Neurospora crassa OR74A: one gene and its partners. The main gene of each other region encodes a partner of the protein of the gene in region 5 in a complex. Links are inferred from orthologs where the notes say so. Each region holds a gene or a part of one and is shown on either strand. Other genes may lie near its edges.

Evidence for each region.
Region 1: naf-1 (region 5) and NCU02464 share a complex: the UniProt entries of both Saccharomyces cerevisiae proteins name them as parts of the GIN4 complex. The link is inferred for Neurospora crassa OR74A from reciprocal best matches to the Saccharomyces cerevisiae genes NAP1 and CDC11.
Region 2: naf-1 (region 5) and NCU08297 share a complex: the UniProt entries of both Saccharomyces cerevisiae proteins name them as parts of the GIN4 complex. The link is inferred for Neurospora crassa OR74A from reciprocal best matches to the Saccharomyces cerevisiae genes NAP1 and CDC3.
Region 3: naf-1 (region 5) and NCU03795 share a complex: the UniProt entries of both Saccharomyces cerevisiae proteins name them as parts of the GIN4 complex. The link is inferred for Neurospora crassa OR74A from reciprocal best matches to the Saccharomyces cerevisiae genes NAP1 and CDC12.
Region 4: naf-1 (region 5) and NCU03515 share a complex: the UniProt entries of both Saccharomyces cerevisiae proteins name them as parts of the GIN4 complex. The link is inferred for Neurospora crassa OR74A from reciprocal best matches to the Saccharomyces cerevisiae genes NAP1 and CDC10.

Annotation. Positions count from the first base shown.
Region 1 is NC_026501.1:2,406,166-2,410,648, reverse strand, and holds NCU02464 (neuronal-specific septin-3), read left to right. Parts: upstream 1-1,463; 5' UTR 1,464-1,835; coding exon 1,836-1,850; intron 1,851-2,004; coding exon 2,005-2,080; intron 2,081-2,155; coding exon 2,156-2,272; intron 2,273-2,340; coding exon 2,341-2,566; intron 2,567-2,632; coding exon 2,633-3,100; intron 3,101-3,166; coding exon 3,167-3,437; 3' UTR 3,438-4,120; downstream 4,121-4,483. Other genes in the region: NCU02465 (hypothetical protein), read left to right, coding at 273-506. UniProt on the Saccharomyces cerevisiae protein: Septins are GTPases involved in cytokinesis that assemble early in the cell cycle as a patch at the incipient bud site and form a ring approximate 15 minutes before bud emergence, which transforms into an hour-glass shaped collar of cortical filaments that spans both sides of the mother-bud neck.
Region 2 is NC_026504.1:2,496,170-2,500,706, reverse strand, and holds the start of NCU08297 (cell division control protein 3), read right to left. Parts: upstream 2,931-4,537; 5' UTR 2,336-2,930; intron 1,926-2,335; 5' UTR 1,824-1,925; coding exon 1,820-1,823; intron 1,078-1,819; coding exon 811-1,077; intron 756-810; coding exon 289-755; intron 236-288; coding exon 1-235. UniProt on the Saccharomyces cerevisiae protein: Septins are GTPases involved in cytokinesis that assemble early in the cell cycle as a patch at the incipient bud site and form a ring approximate 15 minutes before bud emergence, which transforms into an hour-glass shaped collar of cortical filaments that spans both sides of the mother-bud neck.
Region 3 is NC_026505.1:2,439,065-2,443,568, forward strand, and holds NCU03795 (cell division control protein 12), read left to right. Parts: upstream 1-1,484; 5' UTR 1,485-1,993; coding exon 1,994-2,098; intron 2,099-2,169; coding exon 2,170-2,332; intron 2,333-2,400; coding exon 2,401-2,711; intron 2,712-2,768; coding exon 2,769-3,347; 3' UTR 3,348-3,847; downstream 3,848-4,504. Other genes in the region: NCU03794 (periodic tryptophan protein 2), read right to left, coding at 1-557, 625-755; stk-24 (pyruvate dehydrogenase kinase), read right to left, coding at 4,151-4,504. UniProt on the Saccharomyces cerevisiae protein: Septins are GTPases involved in cytokinesis that assemble early in the cell cycle as a patch at the incipient bud site and form a ring approximate 15 minutes before bud emergence, which transforms into an hour-glass shaped collar of cortical filaments that spans both sides of the mother-bud neck.
Region 4 is NC_026502.1:407,757-412,107, reverse strand, and holds NCU03515 (cell division control protein 10), read right to left. Parts: upstream 2,699-4,351; 5' UTR 2,296-2,698; coding exon 2,175-2,295; intron 2,109-2,174; coding exon 1,546-2,108; intron 1,496-1,545; coding exon 1,166-1,495; 3' UTR 641-1,165; downstream 1-640. Other genes in the region: NCU03514 (hypothetical protein), read right to left, coding at 1-51; NCU03516 (mitochondrial ribosomal protein subunit L32), read left to right, coding at 3,410-3,746, 3,828-3,880. UniProt on the Saccharomyces cerevisiae protein: Septins are GTPases involved in cytokinesis that assemble early in the cell cycle as a patch at the incipient bud site and form a ring approximate 15 minutes before bud emergence, which transforms into an hour-glass shaped collar of cortical filaments that spans both sides of the mother-bud neck.
Region 5 is NC_026505.1:4,745,620-4,750,193, reverse strand, and holds naf-1 (nucleosome assembly protein), read left to right. Parts: upstream 1-1,544; 5' UTR 1,545-1,818; coding exon 1,819-1,865; intron 1,866-1,942; coding exon 1,943-2,022; intron 2,023-2,100; coding exon 2,101-2,820; intron 2,821-2,877; coding exon 2,878-3,203; intron 3,204-3,268; coding exon 3,269-3,319; 3' UTR 3,320-4,023; downstream 4,024-4,574. UniProt on the Saccharomyces cerevisiae protein: Acidic protein, which assembles histones into an octamer (in vitro). Involved in the regulation of the localization and the function of the septins during mitosis. Involved in the function of B-type cyclins.

The DNA of each region.
Region 1 (4,483 bases), on a different chromosome or scaffold from region 5:
GCATGCGCCCAGCAGTCACAATCGATTGATTAAAGCTCTCAAAGCAGGCGGCCCAACTACGCCACGTCCATTCGACACTCTGCACACAACAGTATGTCGAAGTTGCGGGAATATCAAGGGTATGGAGCAATCCAGATATACCAGAGCCGTATGGTTTCTCCACACAACGTTCGTGATCGAGCGAGAATTGTGTACCTATGGCTTTGTTCAGGCCTGACGAGACCTATCCTGGAGGCTCTTTAAGAGAGAGACAATGAGATCAGAAAACAACAATGACGGGATTCAGCAGGGGCGGGCCGACAAGGAGAGCCTCGCATGGCGGCTCGGTTACCAAGTGGAATGTTGGTAATGCGCAGGACGTTGACTGGAGGAAGCTCTGGAGTCTGGTTGCAAGTGAGGGATGGATCGCAAGAGGAAGTTCCCGCCTGCCCCGCGCCGATGACAAGTACCTCTACGCCCCGGGAGTTGGGGACGACGCCTGGATCTCTCGCGATGAGCTGGACTGAGCAAGCCCCGGTGATGGATCGACGGGATCGAAGCACATCCAACACGACATCAACCTGATGATGAAGACGAGAAGCATGCCCGACAGCATGACAGCAGAGACTTGAGCGACACCTAATGCATGTATGTACTATGTACATTAAATGGCTGACAGCTGGCAATGCGCTTGCTTGCCCATACGGCATAGCTGCACCCCCAGTTGCCCACTCTCAGAAGCTCGAATCGCCGGGAGGGGTCTGCAAGACAGCCTGGGGTTGGGGTTACACGCTTTTCCAGAATTAGTCAAGCGTCAGGAGCTTAGCAAATGACCCCCTGATTGCCATGGAGCTGTTGTTAATTGCGGATTGGGACAGGTCTTGCCAATTCCCATCTGATTGCAGCTTCAGGTTAAGACGTCCGTGACGAGTCGAATGAGCTGTGCTCGGTAGATTGGTTGTGTGAAGCAGTGTTTGTACTTGTTAGGTAGTCCACGACATCGAACACTGAAGTGGACTTGAGCTACTGGAGGCTTTTCATGTCCATCTCTTCAGTATTCTATCCAGACGCATCTGGAGGTTGCCGTTCCTCAAGCGTCCACTTCCACTTCCGCCCTGCGATATGAGGTTTCCTGGTCCCGTTTGTCTCCACAGTGTGTTTATTCTAGCCCGTGATGAGGATGGGATCCGTGCTCTGGGCAAAGCAAGGAAGCACAGGAGGTTCCTCCCAAACAGCTGGGATCGCTACTACTGTATACCTAGGTAGGAAGCGTACCTCTAGAGGTTAATTGGAATAGTTGCAGCCCTCTTCAGGGCACTGTGAGAGACCGAGCCAGCGCGCTGCCTCTGGGCTGTCGCTCCCCTCCCGTCCCCTCCCTGCCACGCCCATCAGGTCATTGGCCACTGCTCTGCCCGGAGGTGCACAGGTGGTCCTGGCCGGTCCCCATCATCCCGTCCCGCCCTGTCACTGTGTGGCAGCGTTCACGCCCACGTCCACTCTGGGCAAAGCAGCCCAGTCCAGTCCATTGCAGTAACACCGCAACATTTTGTGAAATTGCACTTGCCATCTTCTCCTTTTCCAATCCGAACGCCCACTCCACGACCTCCCCACGACCTCGATACCTCGCTCTCACACGGCCAACACTACCTCACCTCTACCCGACCCCGTCTCCATCTCCAAGACATCTCTCGGTCGCCGCATTTTTGGTGACTGGATAGCCAATCCCATCAACCATACCACCACTATTCTTCCCCAGTCAATCCTCTGAGGTAGACACTCCCCTTATTACCCTTTTGTTGTTTGTTGGTACGGACCCGTTGTCGAGAAATTAAAGGCGCCAACCGCCAGCTGTCACCATGTCTCTGCCTGCCGTATGTTTTGTTTGTTTGCTTGTCTCGTTCTCGTCGTTCTCTCACCGTCCTGGCACTCCATCTTCGTGTCCTCGACCTACAACACTGCCAATTGCTACCCAAATAAGCTATTCGGTTGCACGTCATGTTCACTAACACCATCTCCTCCCGGCAGAAGATGATGCGCCGCAAGAAGAACGTCAAGAAGGGTATCCAGTTCTGCCTGATGGTCTGTGGCGCCTCAGGAACTGGTGAGTCCTTCCAACCCCCAACGAGTCTATCCCGTCGTGCCCTGATCAAGGATTAACCATTGCATTATCTCCCAGGCCGTACCACCTTTGTCAACACCCTCTGCGGCAAAGAGGTTCTCACTCACAAGGACTCCGATGATCCCGCGACCGCCCACGTTGAGGAAGGCGTCAAGATCAAGCCCATCACAGTTGGTATGCTTCGCACTCGAGTCGAGGATCCTACGGTGCGAGTGGCGGTTGTCTAACTATCTATACTACAGAGCTTGAGCTGGACGAGGAAGGGACGCGTATCGCCCTTACCATCGTCGACACCCCCGGCTTCGGTGACCAGATCGACAATGAAGCCAGCTTCTCCGAGATTGTTGGCTATCTCGAAAGGCAGTACGATGACATTCTTGCGGAGGAGTCGCGCATCAAGCGTAACCCCCGCTTCAGGGACAACCGTGTCCACGCCATGCTCTACTTCATCACCCCGACCGGCCATGGGTAGGTTTCACTTCCTCTGTTACACATCCTGACACATCTTGAATCGCAACTAACATGTGCTATAAGTCTCCGTGAGCTGGACATCGAGCTTATGAAGCGCCTTGCGCCCCGAGTCAACGTCATTCCCGTGATCGGCCGCGCTGATACGCTCACCCCAGCTGAGCTTGCCGAGTCCAAGAAGCTAGTGATGGAGGATATCGAGCATTACCGTATCCCCGTCTACAACTTCCCTTACGATATCGAGGAGGATGATGAGGATACCGTAGAGGAGAACGCCGAACTCAGGGGTCTCATGCCGTTCGCTATTGTCGGCTCGGAAGATATCATCGAGATTGGAGGACGCAAGGTCCGCGCTCGCCAATACCCATGGGGTGTTGTTGAGGTCGACAACCCGCGCCATTCCGACTTCTTGGCTATCCGTTCGGCCTTGTTGCACTCGCATCTCGCCGATCTGAAGGAGATCACCCACGATTTCCTATACGAAAACTACCGTACCGAGAAGCTCAGCAAGAGCGTTGAGGGTGGTGCTGGAGTGTAAGTGTTACCCTGAAGCTTCCGATTGCAACCACGTAGCGGAGTAGAGTACTAACGTTGATATAGTGACTCCTCAATGAACCCTGAGGATCTCGCATCCCAATCCGTCCGACTCAAGGAGGAGCAGCTGCGTCGTGAGGAGGAGAAGCTTCGTGAGATTGAGGTTAAGGTCCAACGCGAGATCAACGAGAAGCGCCAGGAGCTCCTCGCCCGCGAATCTCAGCTTCGTGAGATCGAAGCCCGCATGCAACGCGAAGCGGCGGCTGCTGCCCAAGCAGGGACACCCACTACCAGCCACAGCCATCAGGAAATTAACGGTTCCCCAGATGGAAACTAAGCACCAACGACACTAGCACACACATACCTAATCTGTCGTCTCTGTTTACATCCACATGAACAGCTTCAATACCCCACAGGGCGACCGGGTCATTATACGCAGGCGTTGGTTCTTTTGTGTTGTTCGTTGTTTGATAAAATATTCCCCGCTATTTTGCGACTTTTTTTTTTACTGGAGATGATGGCTCCAAAGAAGACATACGATGGTGACGACGACAACACGGTGAGGGGTTCAGTCTCGACAAGGGCATTCAATCGGGTCGGTATTCAGTGCAGCCTCATCAAATTGACGGGGATACCCGCATTGCGGCATAGGAGCATGTCTTCACCGCAGAGGTTTCGTGTCGATTAGTCAGTGGAACTGGTATGCTCAGCTTGCCTGCCGTCGACGCAGCAAGAAGTACCGAAACAGACTGCTCGGGACAAGAAGAAGGCCTGGGGACGTATTGACGGGAAACGATTATTACCGTATGACTTGTCTTGATTATTCTAGAGGCCTTAGGTTTTGTCCAAGACCTGTGGCACCACCCCGAATTTTCCAACTTCTACTATTGGACTTCTAATGCAGATATCAACTAAATTAAATGCACTTCACTTGTCTCGGATCATATATATAACATTGAGCTAGTGATGAGCGTGTGTGTACTCCTACCACATAGAGATGCTAACACTTAAAAGTTGTTGATTTTGTCAGAGTTGCATTTTACCAAGTTCATGGCTACGTGCTTTTGTTGCTACGACACTTGAAAGCCGCAGATGATGTTGCGCGGGTAAGAGATGTTGGGAGTGATAATATTATATTAGGTCGGAAACGCTGTGCTTTTTTTTTATATAATTCCATAGACGATATAAAGAGGAAAGTCATTCCCGTTCTTGGTTTGTGTTGCTTTTTGGTCCAACATTTCGAGCCTTGAAGCTAACCATACAGTTGCAAACCCATTTTACCAGGTAGAGACCAATTTGAAGCGCAATCAATCGAAAACCGAAATCCAAAGAGCCCTATCCCCGCATGTGATCCCATTTCCCATAACCATCCGTTTACAACCC
Region 2 (4,537 bases), on a different chromosome or scaffold from region 5:
GGAGCTTCACAAAGTCGCAATGCTCCTCATTGTCCACCTCGATCACACCCCAAGGGTAACGGCGACCGCGAACCTTACGGCCATCGGCGTTTGTGATCTCGTTGGTCGCACCGACAACAGCGAAGGGGACCTTGGACATGATCTCGTTGTTCTCCGCGATGGTCTCCTCATCGTCGAGTTCGTAGCGAGGGCCCTCAAAGATTTGCACCTTGTGGTACTTGATATCCGCAAGAATCTATGATAAACTGTTAGTATTGATCGCAGAACCAGTAGGGCCCGAAGACATACTCTAGCCTTGAAAGCAGCAATCTCGTCATCGGTGAGAGTATCCGACTTGGCGATGACGGGAATCAAGTTGACCTTGGTGTGGAGACGCTTCATGACCTCGATATCAAGAGGCTTGAGCGAGTGACCGGTGGGCTGGATGAAGAACACACAGGCATGGATCCTGTTGTCCACAATGTTCATGCGGTTCACCTTGTTTTCGGCATCCAAGTAAGCATCGAAGCGCTGTTCGATGTTGTCCACAATAGGACGCCAAGACTCGTCGTTGTTGACAAAGTCGCCGAAGCCAGGAGTGTCAACGACGGTCAAACGGAGGCGAACACCAGCCTCTTCAATATCGGCGCTGATAGACTGAATGGTGACAGTCTTGGGAACAATGTCGAGGCTAGGTCCCTTGCGCTCCTTGGGAGGGTAAAGCGAAGTGTTAAAGAGAGTGTTAACGAGGGTCGACTTTCCGAGTCCCGATTCACCTGCATGTCTAGAATTAGTAAATCTCCTTCAATGGACACAGAAAGCGTCACATACCAACAACCATGACATTGAAGTTGAAGCCCTTGCGGACGCTCTTGCGGTGCCATTGGTTGGGAAGGTTGGCGAAACCAACGTATCCCGTCAGCTTCCTTCGGACAATGTTTCGGTTGTCGCTCAAGGTAGAAGGGAGAGCTGCGGCCACGGTGTCAGAACCAGAAGCATCTTGATGTTGTTTCGTCTGAGATGGCAATGGCTGGGAAGTCGATGACTGAGGTACGGGAGCCGCCCTAACAGGAGGAGAGGTGGGAATACCGTTCGAAGCTGTCATAGAGCCAACGTTAGCATGATATCCATCATCTTGTGCCCAAAAGTATGTAATGTATGTCCAGTCAAGTGCGCGGAGCTCTCAACTACTAGAGGATAAAGGCCGCTTCGGTAATGGCTCCTGGGACACAGTCGGATCCGTAGCCTTGGGATATAGCTCGTCGTATGAGAATTGTTGGGTCATTGGCAACGTCGGGGCCGGGTCCTCGATTTCCAGCAAGCTCTTGTATCGGCGTAGAGCCTTCTTGATCATCTCGTTGTTCTCCCCAAGGGGCAAACTGCTGGTCCGTGTTCCGGAGACGGAAACGGGGGACACGGGACCATCCCGCGAGGCGCTTCCATCGATGGTTTCAGCGAGACTGGCGAAGCTCTTCTCAAACTGAACACTTTTGGCGCGGCCCCGGGTGGCATTGTGCATCATGGTAGCGAAATGCATTGCAGCGGAGTCGTTTGAACAAAGTATTTGGGTGGTAAGATGGTTCTCTTCCAAAAAAAAGACGGTTCCCAAGAAACGGTAGATGGCAAGCGGACAACGAATGTGATGATCGTATCAGAAGAACGAGCTGTGATGTTGGTGGGGGGAAGGGAGATGAAAAGTCGGCGAAGGGCGGCGTTGAGTCGGGTTTTGTTGAGCCCTTGGACCGTAGAGTAAGGTACGAGGAGGTCGGTGATCCGGCGATGCTTCCTGCGGCTTGGTCGAATGGGCAGGTTAAGTAGAGGACAGAAAGCAAGCGCTTACCCATTATAGCAGAAGGTACCGTGATGGTGATGTTTCGGTCGAGTCGAGAAGTGAACGGTTGATGAAAAAGGTAAAAAAATTCGGGATCGTAAGGAAGGCGCGAAGTCTGGAAGGTAAACGAATAGCGTCAGTCATTGAGATGGAAGCTGAATTGCACCCGGCATGTGTCTTCCTCCTTCTCCGTGCAGACGGCTACCGCCCACTCGTCAAGTGCCCTGCAGTGCGAGTCCGGTACTACCAGCACCGACACCACCTAAAACCCCAACGTGGATTGCGGTGGAGGCAAACGGGCTGGCTGGAGTGGCTGCTCGTATCGGCGCAGCCCAGCGGCAACTATGAGGGGGGCTTGTGACGACGAAGAGCACGAGATACCGGCAGGTTGGGGCAGTAGCAACAGAGCCATTCGGTATCTGTCGAGCCGGACGGGGAGGCTGTAGATACGTGCTCTGGGCTGGACCAGGAGCGAGCGTCTATACAGAGAGTATCGGAGTTCACGATCAAGCAGCATCAACTTACCGGAAGGAAGGCGAGCCGGTAGGGTAGATACCTCGATGGTTCGCGTATTGTCAAAGGTTGGGTAGTTGTCAATGGGCGCCGCCTAGTGCGGATTTCCAAGGCAATTGGCCGGTGAATCTGAAAGGTAACGCTGGATCGCGTATGAATATGAAAAGAGTGCCAAAGGTAAGGTACGAAATGAAGACGGGGACGTGATAACGGGGAGGAGAATGCTGAGTTGTTGCCGGTAGAAAAGAATGGGAAATTTTGTGTGAGGAGCGACGGCAGTCAGTGTGGCAGCAGCAAGCACCAGCAGCAGCAGCGAGCAGACAGGGCGGCTTCAGTCGAAGAAGATGGATGGATGATTGTGGATGGGATGGGGGGTGGGTATGGAGATTGGGTAGGTGTTTAGATTGCCTGTGCCTGGCTGCATCGACGTTCCGTTTGGAGCAGTTCAAAAGGGGTTCAGGTTCGACGTGCCAAATGTGGTGTTAGGTGGTGTCGTGCTGGAACCCGGATGGACGCCGGACAGGCCATGGCAGGCCCGACGCACCAGTGCCAGGACCACGAGTAAAACACTGCACACGGGCGCAAGGTCGCAAGGCCTCGCTCGCTGGTGGCCCGGCTGGCACATTAGACTTCGATTAGGAAGTGTCCACTGGCCTGACGGGTGGGCAACCTAAAAGGACATGCTAAGGGGAAAACTAATAAGCAGGGGTTGACACAATCGGACACATGATTGGTCAGGACATGGTTACAGCCCAGCATTTGGGGAAAAAGATGAGTGTGAATTCTGGGGCTCGAGAAATCCAATCTCAAAACTTGTGTCAACACAATATACTAACCTTGAGTAGCTGGCATCGAGCAACGGGAACTTCATCTTTTGTCTATGAGTAATATCTAACCCATCATCTCAACATGAGACCTATGAGACCTACACTAAGCTACCAGTGTAGAACGCAATACCAACAAGAGCAAACATTTGACAAGCAAGCAGAAAGGAGTAGGAACCACAAAGGTCATGCCGCCTCGGCTCAATTTGCCATGTCCGCACTGTACTAGCACGGATGTGACGATGAGCTAAGTACTTATGAGCCAGGGAGCTCCTGAAAATTAAATTACGTGCATTTGTTGGAGACCAAATCCCGTGCACTTTCACATTTTGATTTGCTTCGCGCTTCTCTGCAACTCTATTTGGTGCTTGGCTCTCTGGTATGACTGCTCATGATATTCGGACATAACTTGCTGAGGCTGGCTACGAGGCACGGGTAGGCGGGCTAGGTAGGTTTGAGCGCGTCTAGATCCCACACCCGACTTCGGAACCAGACGAGCGACTGTTTCAGTCAGGGCAAACAGCATCATCTCCTTCAAGTTGTCTTTGCTGGAGGCCAAATACCATGGATTATGTGTTTTTATATTATACGCCTGTTTCCGCCTGTTGATGAGACAGACATGGTGGCTACCGTCAGGCTCCTACACTCTGGATGTGGTGCTCGGGCGCTTGCATCCAAATATTGTCGCCGTGCTTTGGTGTAAATCCCGTGAGTTCTTGCTGGACATTTTGATCGGTGCGGTCGATAGGGATCACTTTTCTTCTTCAAAGCCGTCACGGTGGTCGATCATCGGAGACCCTGGATGAGATCAGAAAAGCAAGACACGGGACCAACTCGATGTCCCATGGTTAGAGAAACATGGCAATGGCGTGGCTTGGGACATTTGGGCGCATATCCGTCGATTTTCGGTGCATCCTGGAGCATACCGCTTCCATGTGGAGGTGGTTGCAAGATGCGCCTGGCCCTGATGGTCTGACACCCTGGGTGTGGAAACCCCAGTTCCATTCATACATAGAAGCTCCTCCAGTTCCCGTCCTCCATAACAAGCGAACGGGAATGGAGCCGCCTGGCTTTTTAAAGAAACAATCCGATCAACTTCCCCACATCCGGAAGGGCTGGACTGGACGCTTCGTTTTCTTATATTTTTTCCCGCCTCGGTCACAGAAATCAAAGACGAACACATTGGCCTTTCGGGAATTCCTAAAACACTCTGGCACGACCACATCTGTATACACAGTATCCTCTACTTCCCCACTAGGTAGAGGCAGTTTGGTTCCAGAATTGCATGCGGAGGATTAAAGTAATTCTCAAAGGTTCGGACGACAAGTATTGTACTTCGGGTGTTCCCGAGAAGTCACATGATTGGTTAATCGGTGCGCACACATAGTTG
Region 3 (4,504 bases), about 2.3 Mb from region 5:
GTCCAGGCTTCGCAACGTATTGCCAGTCGAATACGGCGCCGTCCTTGCTGACTGTGTAAATCGTCTCTTGATCCTTGGAAAACCACGCGCCCACGACACCCTGCCTGTGACCGGACAGAACTGTAGGTGTGAACCCCTCCTCTTGATCAACACTCCATATCCTTGCTGTGAGATCCTTGGAAGATGTGAGGAAGAATCGCGAGTCGTGGGACCACTCGATGTGACGGACATCGTCGAAGTGTTGGACGTGGGTATGGTGCTTGACGAAGGGCGCAAACTCGAGCTCGCCGTCGGCGTTGGCGTCGGGTGTTGAGGGAACGTGCCAAACCTCGATTTTCCTGCCGAGTCCAACAATGAAGTGGCGCCCCGATGGCGAAAAGGAGAGAGCCGTTACTGGAGCCTTGAAGGAGAAGTGATATAGTACTACGCGCCGGGGCACGTTGGTGAGAATAGCTTGGCCATCTTCGTCTATGGAGAGTAGGAGGTTGCCCTGGGGCGTGAGACCGATACGCGCAATGTTCTTTCGGTGGGAGAAGGGAAGGGTATATGATTTGTTACTGCGACCGTGTTAGCCAGCTTACAAGCCATGCGCCAGGCAGGTGTGTAGGGAATCTTGAGACGTACTCGACAAGGTTAAAGACTGTCACCCTGTTGCCAACGGGCGAGAAGAGATGGGTACCGTCCGGGCTGAACAAGAGGTTGCCCTGGCAGTAGACTGTGCCCAGTAGATTAGAAAACTTGAAGTCGGTCTTCATTTTCAAACACTATTCCATGCCTCGACTGTCAACGTTGGAGATGGAGCAGAACTGGGATAGTATCTGGGGATTCGATTATGTACAGGAACTGGAGGACTCTTTCGAGTCTGTATAGGTAAGTGGAACAGAAGTTCAGTTACAGGCTGCTGCTGTTGCGCCTAGACCGCCCGTACGTTCAATGGCGATTCTGCCAGCCAAAAATTTCATAAACTTTTTGGCGGGGAATGGAGTCGGGTTAGCTCCTCGCTTTGGCACCAGCTGGCAAAAGACTTGGCGTATCTGGCAGCCTCACCGACCGCAGCGAGACCAACCACTGCACGGCACCACCAAGCACGGTCACCAAGCACAGTGCAAGGCTGGCAGAGCTGGCAATCAAAGGGTCAAAGGGTCGACCAAGTTTCCATGGCAATGAATGGCTGATCACCGCCAATGGCGCTAGCAGGGAAGGCACGCATCGATTAAATGCTCGGCGAGGGTACCTGGCAAGCGCGTTTCAGTGGAGAGCTGCCAGCGTAGGTCCGTCTCTGGGGACCTGGAATTGGGGAAGTGTGGGAAGCAAGTGGAAAAGGGGAGGGTCCACTCATTTCCCTGCCGCGCAGCCAGTCAAGAGCGGCCTTGTGTGGTGGCAGCTCTACACTACTGCAGAATGCCGGGCTCGAAAGGTGCCATTGGATTATATGGATCGTGTACCGTGCGCCTTCTCGGCATCATCACAGACGGCTGCCGTGGCCCCGCCCAGGCACCTCATCTGGAGGATGGAATCGAATGCTGCTTGCTCGCTGCTTGCTCCGTCCGTCTGCTGCCGCGGCCCTGCAGTGCCTGGAGTGCTTGGGGTTCAGTCAGTGTGGGCTAGGTTTGGCCTGGCGCTCCCGTCCCCGTCGCTGGTGCTCTCTCCTGCGTGGGTGTGTGGTGCTGGGTTGGGCCAGATGAATGTGGTGTGGAAATTTGAACAAGTAAATTCCCCTGAACGAAAGCACAGAGCTCCACGACGGGTCCCCCGTCCACTCACCACTGCAGTTCCATCCCCCGTCTGCCTCTCGCTCCCACCCGTCCACTGTCAACACCAACCTAATTTCGATTCCCATTCACGACCACCACCATACCCGTACACCACGCATCCCGCCTGACGCTCTTTTTCTCCAATTGCCGGTGCTTCTTCTCGCCGTTACAGCAACGGGATCGTGACTTAATCCTCTACCCATAATTATCTCCCAGTTTCGTGTTTCGCCCAGCTGAAGATGGCCCCTGCCACTACCGAGAGCGCCTCACCGATTGGCATTGCCAATCTGCCCAACCAGCGACACAAGATTGTTGCTAAGAGAGGCGCTGCTTTTACTATTATGGTGCGCTTCACTGTCCAAAGCTTGCCGAACCTCGCGCTTGTAAAACCAATGCTGACGGCGTGGGTGGATAGGTTGCTGGCGAGTCCGGCCTCGGCAAGACCACCTTCATCAACACGCTGTTCTCCACGACCATCAAGAACTATGCCGACCACAAGAGGCGCCACCAGAAGCAGGTCGACAAGACCGTCGAGATCGAAATCACAAAGGCTGAGCTCGAGGAGAAGTTCTTCAAGGGTACGACAGCACATCACGCAGGGGGACCTTGGTGTCTTGTAGGAGAGCTCTGTCTAACCAGCTTATAGTTCGCCTGACTGTTATCGACACCCCCGGCTTTGGTGACTACGTCAACAACCGCGACTCGTGGATGCCCATTATCGAATTCCTCGACGACCAGCACGAGTCCTACATGCTCCAGGAGCAACAACCCCGCCGTCAGGACAAGATTGATCTCCGTGTCCACGCCTGCTTGTACTTCATCCGCCCCACCGGCCACACGCTTAAGCCCCTAGATATCGAGGTCATGAAGAGACTCTGCTCTCGCGTCAACCTCATTCCCGTTATTGCCAAGGCCGACACTCTCAGCCCTGCCGACCTGGCGAGGTTCAAGTCCAGGGTAGGTTTTTCCCTTTACTTGAAGATACCACCCATCATCGCTAACCATGACTTCTAGATCCGTGCCGTCATCGAAGCTCAGGGTATCAAGATCTACCAGCCACCTATTGAGGAGGATGACGAGGCTGCCGCACAACACGCACGCAGCTTGATGGCCGCTATGCCCTTTGCCGTTATCGGCTCCGAGAAGGATGTTAAGACCAGCGATGGACGTATTGTCAAGGGCCGTCAATACTCGTGGGGTGTGGCCGAAGTCGAGAACGAGGAACACTGCGACTTCAAGAAGCTCCGTTCGATTCTTATCCGCACCCACATGTTGGACCTTATCCACACAACAGAGGAGCTGCACTACGAGGCTTACCGCGCCCAGCAAATGGAGACCCGCAAGTTCGGCGAGGCTCGCCCAAGGAAGCTCGACAACCCCAAGTTCAAGGAGGAGGAGGAGGCTCTCCGCAAGCGCTTCACAGAACAGGTCAAGATCGAGGAGCAGCGTTTCAGGCAGTGGGAGCAAAAGCTCATTGCCGAGCGCGACCGTCTCAACAAGGACCTTGAACAGACCCACGCCCAGATCAAGTCCCTCGAGATGGAACTCGAGTCTCTGCAGGGAAATGCCGTTCGCAGCCACGGTCGCCGCTAAGCGGTTATCACGGCTTTTGCGGTATCCTCTACAAGGGTGACCACCGTCTCCCGTTCTATCGAGCATTAATGTACCTGCGCCTCGATTTTTTTCGACATGTTTACGTGAAGACGAACTGGGCGACTTACATACCTTGAAAGACGATGTTCATGGATATGCTGCGGTTTGGTAGGATGGCGCGGTCATCGATCGAGGCTTGTTATAGAAGGGGAGGCTCCTCATGTTTTTATACACTTGCCCGGGTTTCCCTCATCTTCTCACAGACCCTTTCTGCATAGCCCGAATCGCGCAGGGAGGCCCAGGAGATGGGGATGAAAAGTTACAGATATTTGGAAGATTTCGAGCGGCAACTGACATTTTACCACACCCTTTACACTTAACTTTACCCCATCACGCCAGTTTTTTTTTTTCTGTCCGTCTTAGCTACGATGTAATTCTGATAGCAACCCCCCTTTCAATGATACCAAATAATGAGAAAGGCTACCACTTTTGAGTACAAGCTTTGACTTAATGACTGTAGTGCTTCGAATTGAGAGTTGACAAAGGTCTCTAAGCTAAGCGCAAACCTGTGCTACTAAAGTGAGTTGCTATTTCCATATCATGCCCAGTTAACAATATTGCGTTGAAAATACAAGAGGTTGCTCCGTACACCAAGCCCGACTTAGCACACGCGTGAATAATCTATCCGTTACACCAGGTCACTGTGATGCCCTTCCTATGCTCTTCTGAACCGAACCATTACTGGGTATAATTCCTTTCTCCTCCCCTTCCACCCATCCCACTTACACTTTATTGGATATCCTCTAAACGGCATCCATCGTTGCCCGCGTCGTCAGCTGCTCATTCTTGTTCCCCAGCTTCGAGATCTGCAAGAACGCATCCACCCCATACCCTTCCAGACTGTGCAGCGCCAGGCTACCAGCCCAGTACTCGGCGTACACCCTGCTCAAAGGCAACCCCATGCCCAGGCGTAGGTTCGGCGGGCGGCTTGTCAGCGTCGCCAACGAATTGCAGTAACCCGGGTCGCCGGGGAAGTTGTTCCCGTTGTGAATGCCTTTGATCTGTTGTTTTTGTTGCTGTTGCTGTTGCTGTTGCTGTTCCTGCCGCTGTTGTTGCAATTTGCCCACCGTTGTCCCAGCTTCGCTAGAGGTACTTCC
Region 4 (4,351 bases), on a different chromosome or scaffold from region 5:
ATCCATCATATCGATATCTGGGTCCTTTGGGGCCATTTTATTCGTAGTCATTATTCACGGTTGGCTCCGGATGGTGGTGGATGGCGATGGATGGTGATGTTGTTGCAAAAGTACCTAGGTAAACGGTTATGGCTATGGATGGTGGCGATGTGTACCTCTATGCGACTGGGTATCCGTGTGGTCGGTAACGATGATGAAGAAGCGCATGATTGTTTACATCAAGGTCGACGGGAGTTATTGATTGATTGATTGATGGAATGGATTTGGCGATTCCAAGGTTTAAGTCTCTTGACTAAGATCGGGTTCCAGGATGAGATGGACATGCGAATGAGAAAGAAAGAAGAAAGACGACATGGAAATTGTGGGAATGCGGGAATGACACAAATGGGAAATCCACTCGAGTGGGACGTGTCTCTGAGAACGGCACGCGTGGATTGGTGGGGCAAAGAGTTTACTGTAAACAGCCCCCGGAGTTAACGTCAGTCTAGGGCATCCCGGGACGGGACTTGGGTTCATTGTCAGCTTGAGCTTCCAGGCTTTTCTTTGAAACAGAGCAGGTCAGGTTATTTTGCCAGACTTATTCATCTTCATCCTCATCATCATCATCATCATCAAAGTCAAGAAAGTCAAGAAACCAAAGCGGCAAGTACGTAATAAGCTGGGTATTGAACATCTGTATAAAACAACATGGCTACAATTAAGCTGGCCCAAGAACCTCGTCTCTAAACTGCTCTGCCTCGGACCCTCCCTGGAAAGCTCCCATCCGCCTTTCTCGGCACATCTGTATGTATTCCGTAAAAATATTGAATCTAGCCCTCAAGTGCATACTCTCTGACAAGGCCTCATTAAGATAGAAAGTCGGCCCAAAAGCTGCAGAGATGCAATGGAGCTTCCGGTACTAAAAACGAAATTAGGGGGTTAAGAAGTCCACTCCACCGAAATAACCATATCACCAACAAGACGTGGCAGTAGTGAATAAACGCATTGCATCCCGTTTGCGCCATCGCTTGTTTCCCGACCCAAACAAAGCCTTTTTAGTTCTGGCCCCCCATATCCTCGAGGGGCGTATCGGTCGTCGTTCGTCTATATCGGGGGATTGCAGTGTGTTGCGCATGCCGACTCTCCGTCAAGTTTGCTGTCCTCATTGATTGTGGTTGGGCTTCTCCTAGTAGCCGTTCATGGTCATGCGTTGAGAGTTGCGGCTCATCTCGCGATCCGCAGCCGGGCTGATTGGCCTGCTGCTGTGTCCCTGCGCACTGCTTTCCTTGAGGGCCAATAGCTGCTTGGCACGGAAGGTTTCGTAGTGGATCTGGGATGTGGTCTCGATGAGGTCCTGGAGGTGGGTGCGGAGGAGGAAGTTTCGGAGGTAGATGAATTCGCAGTGGTTCTCGTCCTCCACGTTGATCACGCCCCAGCGGTTCTGGCGACCGCGGACCTGCTTGCCGTTGACCACGATGCTCTTTTCGGAACCAACAACAGCGAAGGGAATGAGGCTCTGTGTCACGTTAGCTATTGTTACTTTCTGGGGCAAGTACAAAAGCCCACCTTGATTTGCTGGTTCAGGGAGCGCTCCTCCTCGTCAAGCTCGTCGTTGTCGTAGGGGTACATCTTGAGGTTGTGGAAGGCAAACTCCTCCTTGATGCGCTCCTTGAAGGCCTGGCGTTCTTCCAGCGTAAGGGAGTCCGACTTGGCAATCACGGGCACCACGTTGACGACATCCGACAGCTTCTTGAGGACGACAATGTCGATGGGCTTGAGCGAGTGGCCCGAGGGCTGGATGAAGAAGAGGCAGCAGTGGATGCGGGTGTCCTGGATGTAGCGCTCACGCTGGGCAGTGAGCTCCTTGCGGAGGTAGGCAGAGTGCTGGTCCTTGATGTACTTGACAATGGGATCCCAGCAGCGGTCGTTGTTGATCATGTCGCCGTAGCCGGGGGTGTCGACAATGTTGAGGCGGAGACGGACGCCATTCTCCTCGATGATGTGGGAGACGGACTGGATCTCGGTGGTGGAGCGGACGGTCTCGTCGGGTTGGAGGCGGCCCTTGGAGTCGATGAGGTGGGAAGCGAAGATGGTGTTGATGAGGGTCGACTTGCCGAGGCCGGTTTGGCCTGGGTGGAAGCGGTGTTAGTTGCGTGGGCATAGGTTGATGGCAGAGAATGGAGAGGTAGACGTACCAACGCAGATGACATTGAACTGGAAGCCGCGCTTGAGCAGCTTGCGCTCAATCTGGGAGGTGATGCTGTCGAAACCGACGTGGGTCTCGGGGTGGACGGTGGCAGGGCCCATGGTCGACATGATTGCGAACTTGATGGGGGCTACTTATTATTCCAAAAAGCAGGTGATGGCGGGAAGAGAATTGGCGGCGGAACAAAGAGAGAGAAGCGAATGGAGATGAAGATGGCTGTTGTCGGGCGGTCGAAGGAAGGGCGTGGGTTGGACTGGAGACGGACGGGATGGACAACGGGGAAGAAGAGAAGTGGTGTGTGTGTGTGTGGTCGTGAAATGAAACAAAAGTGCAATTAGGGGACAAGCAATCAGATGCTTGGTTCAATCAATCGGGCAATGGGAGGATGGGAGATGGAACTGGACACCCGACGGCACCAACCAAGACAACGTGATGGTGCTTTCCCCTACAGAAAGACTGCCAGACGGGACCTGGCTGGCTGTTGGTTGTCACTGCAGTGCTGCCCGCTGCTGCTGCTGCTGCTGCTGCTGCTACTGCACGTTGCCAAACAACACAATTTCCCTTCCACTTCCAGGGGGCCAGGCAACCTAACCTAACTGGGAGTCGACTGCCAAATTGAACCTGCGAATCACTGAACGACGGGAGCTGGGAAAGGGGCAGACACGCACCTTGCCGCCCAGCTCGTTTGATTGGCCCTGTGGGGTCAGTGCTTCAGGAACACCCGAATCGGGTTTAGCAGCACCTGCACTGACTTGACAGCGAGTGCTGCACTAATTGCACTAACAAAAGACCTGGGGGGAACCGCGAATGGTTGGTAGGTCCGTGTCACCCATGCCCGAATTTTCTGAGATGGGTGGATCCCCTCCAACGATTGCCGTCCCGCGCGGGCGCGGTGCCAGTTCTCGACTTTCGGCCCCGGCAGCCCAGCAGAGGAAGAAGCACCTTTTGCTTTGGTCCGAGAAATCACACTCCGCTCTCCGTCCACCGATTCCCGATTCGCGATCCGACCACCCGGACACAGCACCTTGACGGCCACACAGCAGGGTTTGGAATTTGAACAAGGGAGGGAGCAAGACACGACATCATCAAGGGACTGAACCGGAAGCCCCAATATCTCGCGCGACAACTACAAATTCCCTTAGAATACTTTTTGCGCATATCCGAAAACGAATTCCATCTAGGTATACTTCACCCAGCAACCAACCCGATACCCCAATCTTCAAAATGGCCGCCATGACTGCTGCTGCTGCCGCCCCCGCCATGCGGCTCTTCAACCCCTCGACCTTCTTCCAAACCCTCAGGACACAGCGCTTCGGTGTCCCCGCCCTCAACTTCGCCGTGCCCGCCGCCGCCATCTCGCTCCTCCCGTCGATACCGTCGCTGCTCGAGGACATCTGGGAAGGCATCCTGCGCGCCGTGCCCAAGAAGAAGACGTCGCACATGAAGAAGAGACACAGGCAGATGGCCGGCAAGGCGCTCAAGGACGTGACACATCTCAACCGGTGCCCGGCTTGCGGCAACCTCAAGCGGATGCACCACTTGTGCTCCACCTGCCTGGGAAGTATGTGATGGAACTGCTGGGATACTTCATGTCTTTATGGTGCTAGGGAGATATGCTGACTGACTGATGACACCCCAACAGAGCTCAAGGGCTTCATGGACCGTAATGGTGGCAGCAACGCCAAGGCCTACTAAGCGGCGCATGCTGAGTTGGAGAGAGGAGAGGGAGGATGATGGGATCAGGGCATGTGATAATGCCCGGGGAAAGATGGCACTTGACTTCAGTTGCTGTATCCGTCCCATACCACACAACATCTGTGTACGATCTAGGTGTCCATGTGTGAAGCGAGACAATGTATACTATTCTGTACATATACCAAAAGTGTTCGCGCCGGTGTGTATCGAAAAGGGCACCGGGAGCGTTCCCCAGGATATCGATGATACCACATAACTTTGGGCTCAACGCTCATTGTAAATTCAAACCAGTAAAGCTATCAATTCATCCCAACATGGACTATCAAACAGCCAAATGTCGACTCTCGGTTTGTCTCATCCTCAAGGTGGATTCCACATCAAGATGGCGGATAAGTACGTACCTGGAGGCTCTGGAGCACCCCGGCTAGCACCGCGGATGTGACGTCTTGAAAGCTGCAGTCGCTGCCCCAC
Region 5 (4,574 bases):
AGTAGGGCTTCTTGCGATCGCATGGATAACTTCCACGATACTTCCCTTACCATCTTGTACATTCAAGTGAGTGGATCAGGCTTTCCGCACGATGACTGGAGATGGGAATGATGGACTCCAGCTAGAATCCTCTTGTCTGACTTCTTCACATTTGTTGACCTGGACGCCGGAGTCACGGAGAAGGATCGGGGCCAGACCGTCCCAACGGGCAGTCAGCAAGTGGGGCAGTCACAGGCATGGGATTTTTCTTTCAACACTGCCCGCCAATCGAATGCCAAGCATGTCCGCTAACGCTTGCCTACTTACATACCTCTAGCCAGAAAGGTCGATGGCGGAGATGGGGGTCGCTATCCACGATTTTTACGATAAGCACAGTGCAACAAGGGTCATTCTGGCCCAAACCTTGTCGGCTTCAGTTGGCGATGGAGATTCGTGGGCATCGCGATGATCACTTGGCAGATGCCGCGAGCGGTCTCACTACACCACAACGTGAGAGAACGTGCTCCATACGTGCCCGTACGTCGTGTACTGGGGTCACTGCAGCATCTCACCTGGACTTAGGTTGGACGCCCACGACGGTCTACGGCCATGATGGTTCAGATCGGTCCGATGATGGTCGCTGAACCCAGCGTCGACTCATAATCGAAGTCATAAGCAGAAAAGTGTGCGTCAAGTTGCCTCTGCTGATGAGGTTTTGACTTGCTGAGGACAGAGTGAATCAGCAGAATTTTCAAGTTTGCCTTCCAAAACCTGCCCGGCTCTGGAGGCCTAATTGAGTTGAGAGACCCTAAACGTTAGAAGCAAATCACCGCAGCCCGACGCCGGTGAGAAGGCGAGATGTAAACACCCGTCCAATATTAGCAGCTCGCAGTTCAGACGAAAAGCAACTTCTAAACTATCTTGCACCTATGAGGTACCTTGTAACTTGTGTATATGAAGCCGGCATGTCACCAATATCATTTACCCTACATCATGTCTCTGGCCGGGATCCCTGGAGAGAACGCTAGCACGCAAGACACGCCAGCCAAATGCTGAAGCATGTGGTGCCAGGAAGCGACGCGCGACGGGCAACCTGGAAATACACTACCTGAATGCGATGTACATGAACGGGCTTTGTACGATAAGAACAACAATGGCATGTTTAGGTTCATCTGGCTAGGCGTAGGTACCTGAGGGGATTTTCAGTTCAGACGAGCAGACCGGGCATGCAATGGCCGAGTGTAGAGTCAAACAAGTGACAGGAGGAGCTTGACCCTAAAAAGACGTGACCCATGACAATGGGCACCTTGCCTATGCTGGAATAGAATTGAAGGTCAAATACCTCTAGGTGGTGGTGTAGGGCAAGCGACAAGACTCATGGGCAGCAAATGGAAGTAGCGGACTGGGGCTGGGTGGTCGCCGGCGCAGTGCAGGCATCATGGAGTGGTCCAACGGGGCGCCTCCCGCTGCAGTGCCCTCGACCCGACTGTCCTGCCCGCACTGGCCAGTGCCCCGCAAATTTTCATAGCAACCCCATTGATAGCTTTTCTCCCCTCCCGGTCCCCTCCAGACCCGACCCTCGCTCAACATTTCTTGCACTGCTGCACAACAAGCCTTCTCTGCCTGGACCGACCGGCAACCACAGAACTTTTTGCCTTTCCCACCAGCACCGGGGCCCCTTCATCAATCTCTACACCCGACCGCTTCTTCAATCCAAATTTGCCCTTCCTTCTCCCATTTCTCCCTCCGACATCCACTGTACGTCGGTCGCAGGGTTCTACCACCGCTTCCTTCTCTGTATCCCAACTCATTTCCTTCTCTTGACCAGAACCAGACACAATGGCCGAGCCCATCAGAAACAAGCGGGCTGATCCCCCCATCGCTCCGTGAGTTTTCATCCCCAGACTTGATGGGATGCCCATCCCGAGTATCGCGTACCGTTACTGACCAGCCTTCGCTTCAGCACCCCCCAGAACACTCCTCTTAACACTGCCCCCATCTCGTCGCACGCTCAGCAGCCCGGTGTTGCCAGCATCAAGGAGGGTGAGTGAAGATTCTTGCTGCTGCTGAGACTATTTGGTAGTTTTCTGGGCTTGTCGCTAAACTTACTGTTCGTTGCAGAGGATCTTGACCGTGCCGCCGCCGCTTCCATCTTCGCCAAGGACCCTAGACTTGTGTCCCTTATCCAGGGTCGTCTCGGCTCTCTTGTCGGTCGTTCGTCCGGCTACATTGAGTCTCTCCCTACCGATGTCAAGCGTCGTGTCGCTGGCCTGAAGGGCATTCAGAAGGAGCACTCCAAGCTCGAGGCCGAGTTCCAGGAGGAGGTCCTCCAGCTCGAGAAGAAGTACTTTGCCAAGTTCACTCCTCTTTACCAACAGCGTGCCGCCATTGTCAACGGCCAGACTGAGCCCACTGAGGACCAGGTCCAGGCCGGTGAGGAGGATGAGGAGGAGGAGGATGAGGAGACCGAGGCCGCCCCCCAGGAGGAGAAGGCTACCGAGTCTGCCGAGAAGGTCTCTGGTATCCCCGAGTTCTGGCTCTCTGCCATGAAGAACCAGATCTCCCTCGCCGAGATGATCACCGACCGCGACGAGGAGGCCCTCAAGTCCCTTACCGACATCCGCATGGAGTACCTTGACAAGCCCGGATTCCGCCTCATCTTCGAGTTCGCTGAGAACGAGTACTTCACCAACAAGACTATCACCAAGACCTACTACTACCAGAACGAGAGCGGCTATGGTGGCGACTTTATCTACGATCACGCCGAGGGTGACAAGATCAACTGGAAGGAGGACAAGGATCTTACTGTCCGCGTTGAGCAGAAGAAGCAACGCAACAAGAGTGAGTTGCAGTTCCAGCTTGAATTTTCTCAAACTTGCTCACTAACAAATTGCACAGCCACCAAGCAGACCCGCATCGTCAAGAAGACCGTTCCTACCGAGTCTTTCTTCAACTTCTTCTCCCCCCCTAAGGCCCCCACTGATGACGACGAGTCTACCACCTCCGATATTGAGGAGCGTCTTGAGCTCGACTACCAGCTCGGTGAGGATATCAAGGAGAAGCTTATTCCCCGCGCCATCGACTGGTTCACTGGCGAGGCCCTCGCCTTTGAGGAGCTCGATGAGGAGGACTTCGAGGACGCCGAGTTCGATGATGAGGATGATGAGGATGATGAAGATGCCAGCGAGGACCAGGATGACGAGGATGAGAGCGATGAAGACGATGTAAGACTTTCTGAATTTTCCCCAACACATGCTATGCTCTGCAGGTATGCTGACAAATTTCACAGGAGGACGGCAGCAAGCCCAAGCAGGAGGCTGCTGAGTGCAAGCAGAGCTAAACGCTGATCGCTGAATGAACACGAAAATGATACCACTATACCACGCAGGCAAGGGGCAGAACGCCCAATGACATTTGGCGTCTGAGTTCCAAATTATTGAGGGTCATGCATGACCGCACCGGGGTGGCCGTGGGCTCAGGAAGAACAGGAGTGTGCGGATGGCCGGAGCTTGTGGTGGATCGATAACCATTCTACAGAATTTGAATTGGTCACATGAGGAGTTGGCTTCAGCACCTGCCTTGACGCTGTGGTTGTCTCTCATAAGTCTTAGCAGGATAGTTCGTCCTGACCCCTGAAGCAGTGGCACGTCAGAGCGCAAGGATGGGAGCAGATATGCGAACTAAACCGGAACAAGGGTCGATTTGTGCGTAAAGGGATGATATTATACGGGACAAAAGCAGTGATTCTAGGAGGATTTAGGTGTTGATTTCATAGTACAGCATTGCAGGTGTTTCTACATCACAAACCGTCATCCAACAGCGTGACTCGATGTAGACTGTCTGACTGTCAAGTTCATTAGGCCACGACACCAGGGGCGGATGACTTCTCCAAGGAGTTCTCAGATGGATGTAAATCGTCATGACCCTTGTTAGCCTCGCGTGATGTAGATAGAGTAAACCTCAACGGACGAAAGAGTCGCCGAGCTGAGGCAGTGCGTGCCTGGAAGGCCTGAAGGATGGGAGCTGGGCTTCTGGAAATTTAGTTGGCGATGTCTCTACTGACACGCAAGCTTGGCGGCTCCCGGTCGAGTTTGAAGGTAGGTAGTAAGTACCTCGAGACTTGGAAGTAAACTAAATAATGGAACCCGGGAAGTTGTTACACTATTCAGTGCTCGGGACACGAGGAGAAATAAGAGACCATCTGCGCTGAATCGAGTGAAAGCTGTCTACATGAAAACATACTGGCTCGGACAAAGTCAAGGGGACAACAAAGCCATGTCAGGTCGCTGTGGCAGTTTCCTATACATTGTGCGGACAGTCAGCTCGATTCTTGCGAGTCCTTCTTCTCCTGAGGTGGAAAAAAAAGAGGAGCCCGGGCAAGAAGACGGGAAGTACGGATAGCATGGGAAGAACACACGCCACATCTCATATTTCCATTTTTACTCTACGTTAAGCAATACAGCCCGATTCTATGTTATTCAAAGGGCTGTCAAATTGAGCAAGCGACCAACATACACTGCCAACTGAGTGCTTGCCTTCACAGCGGATCTCTTATTCATTCTATGATTCCAGTGGCGTAATTCGTCATCGTCAAG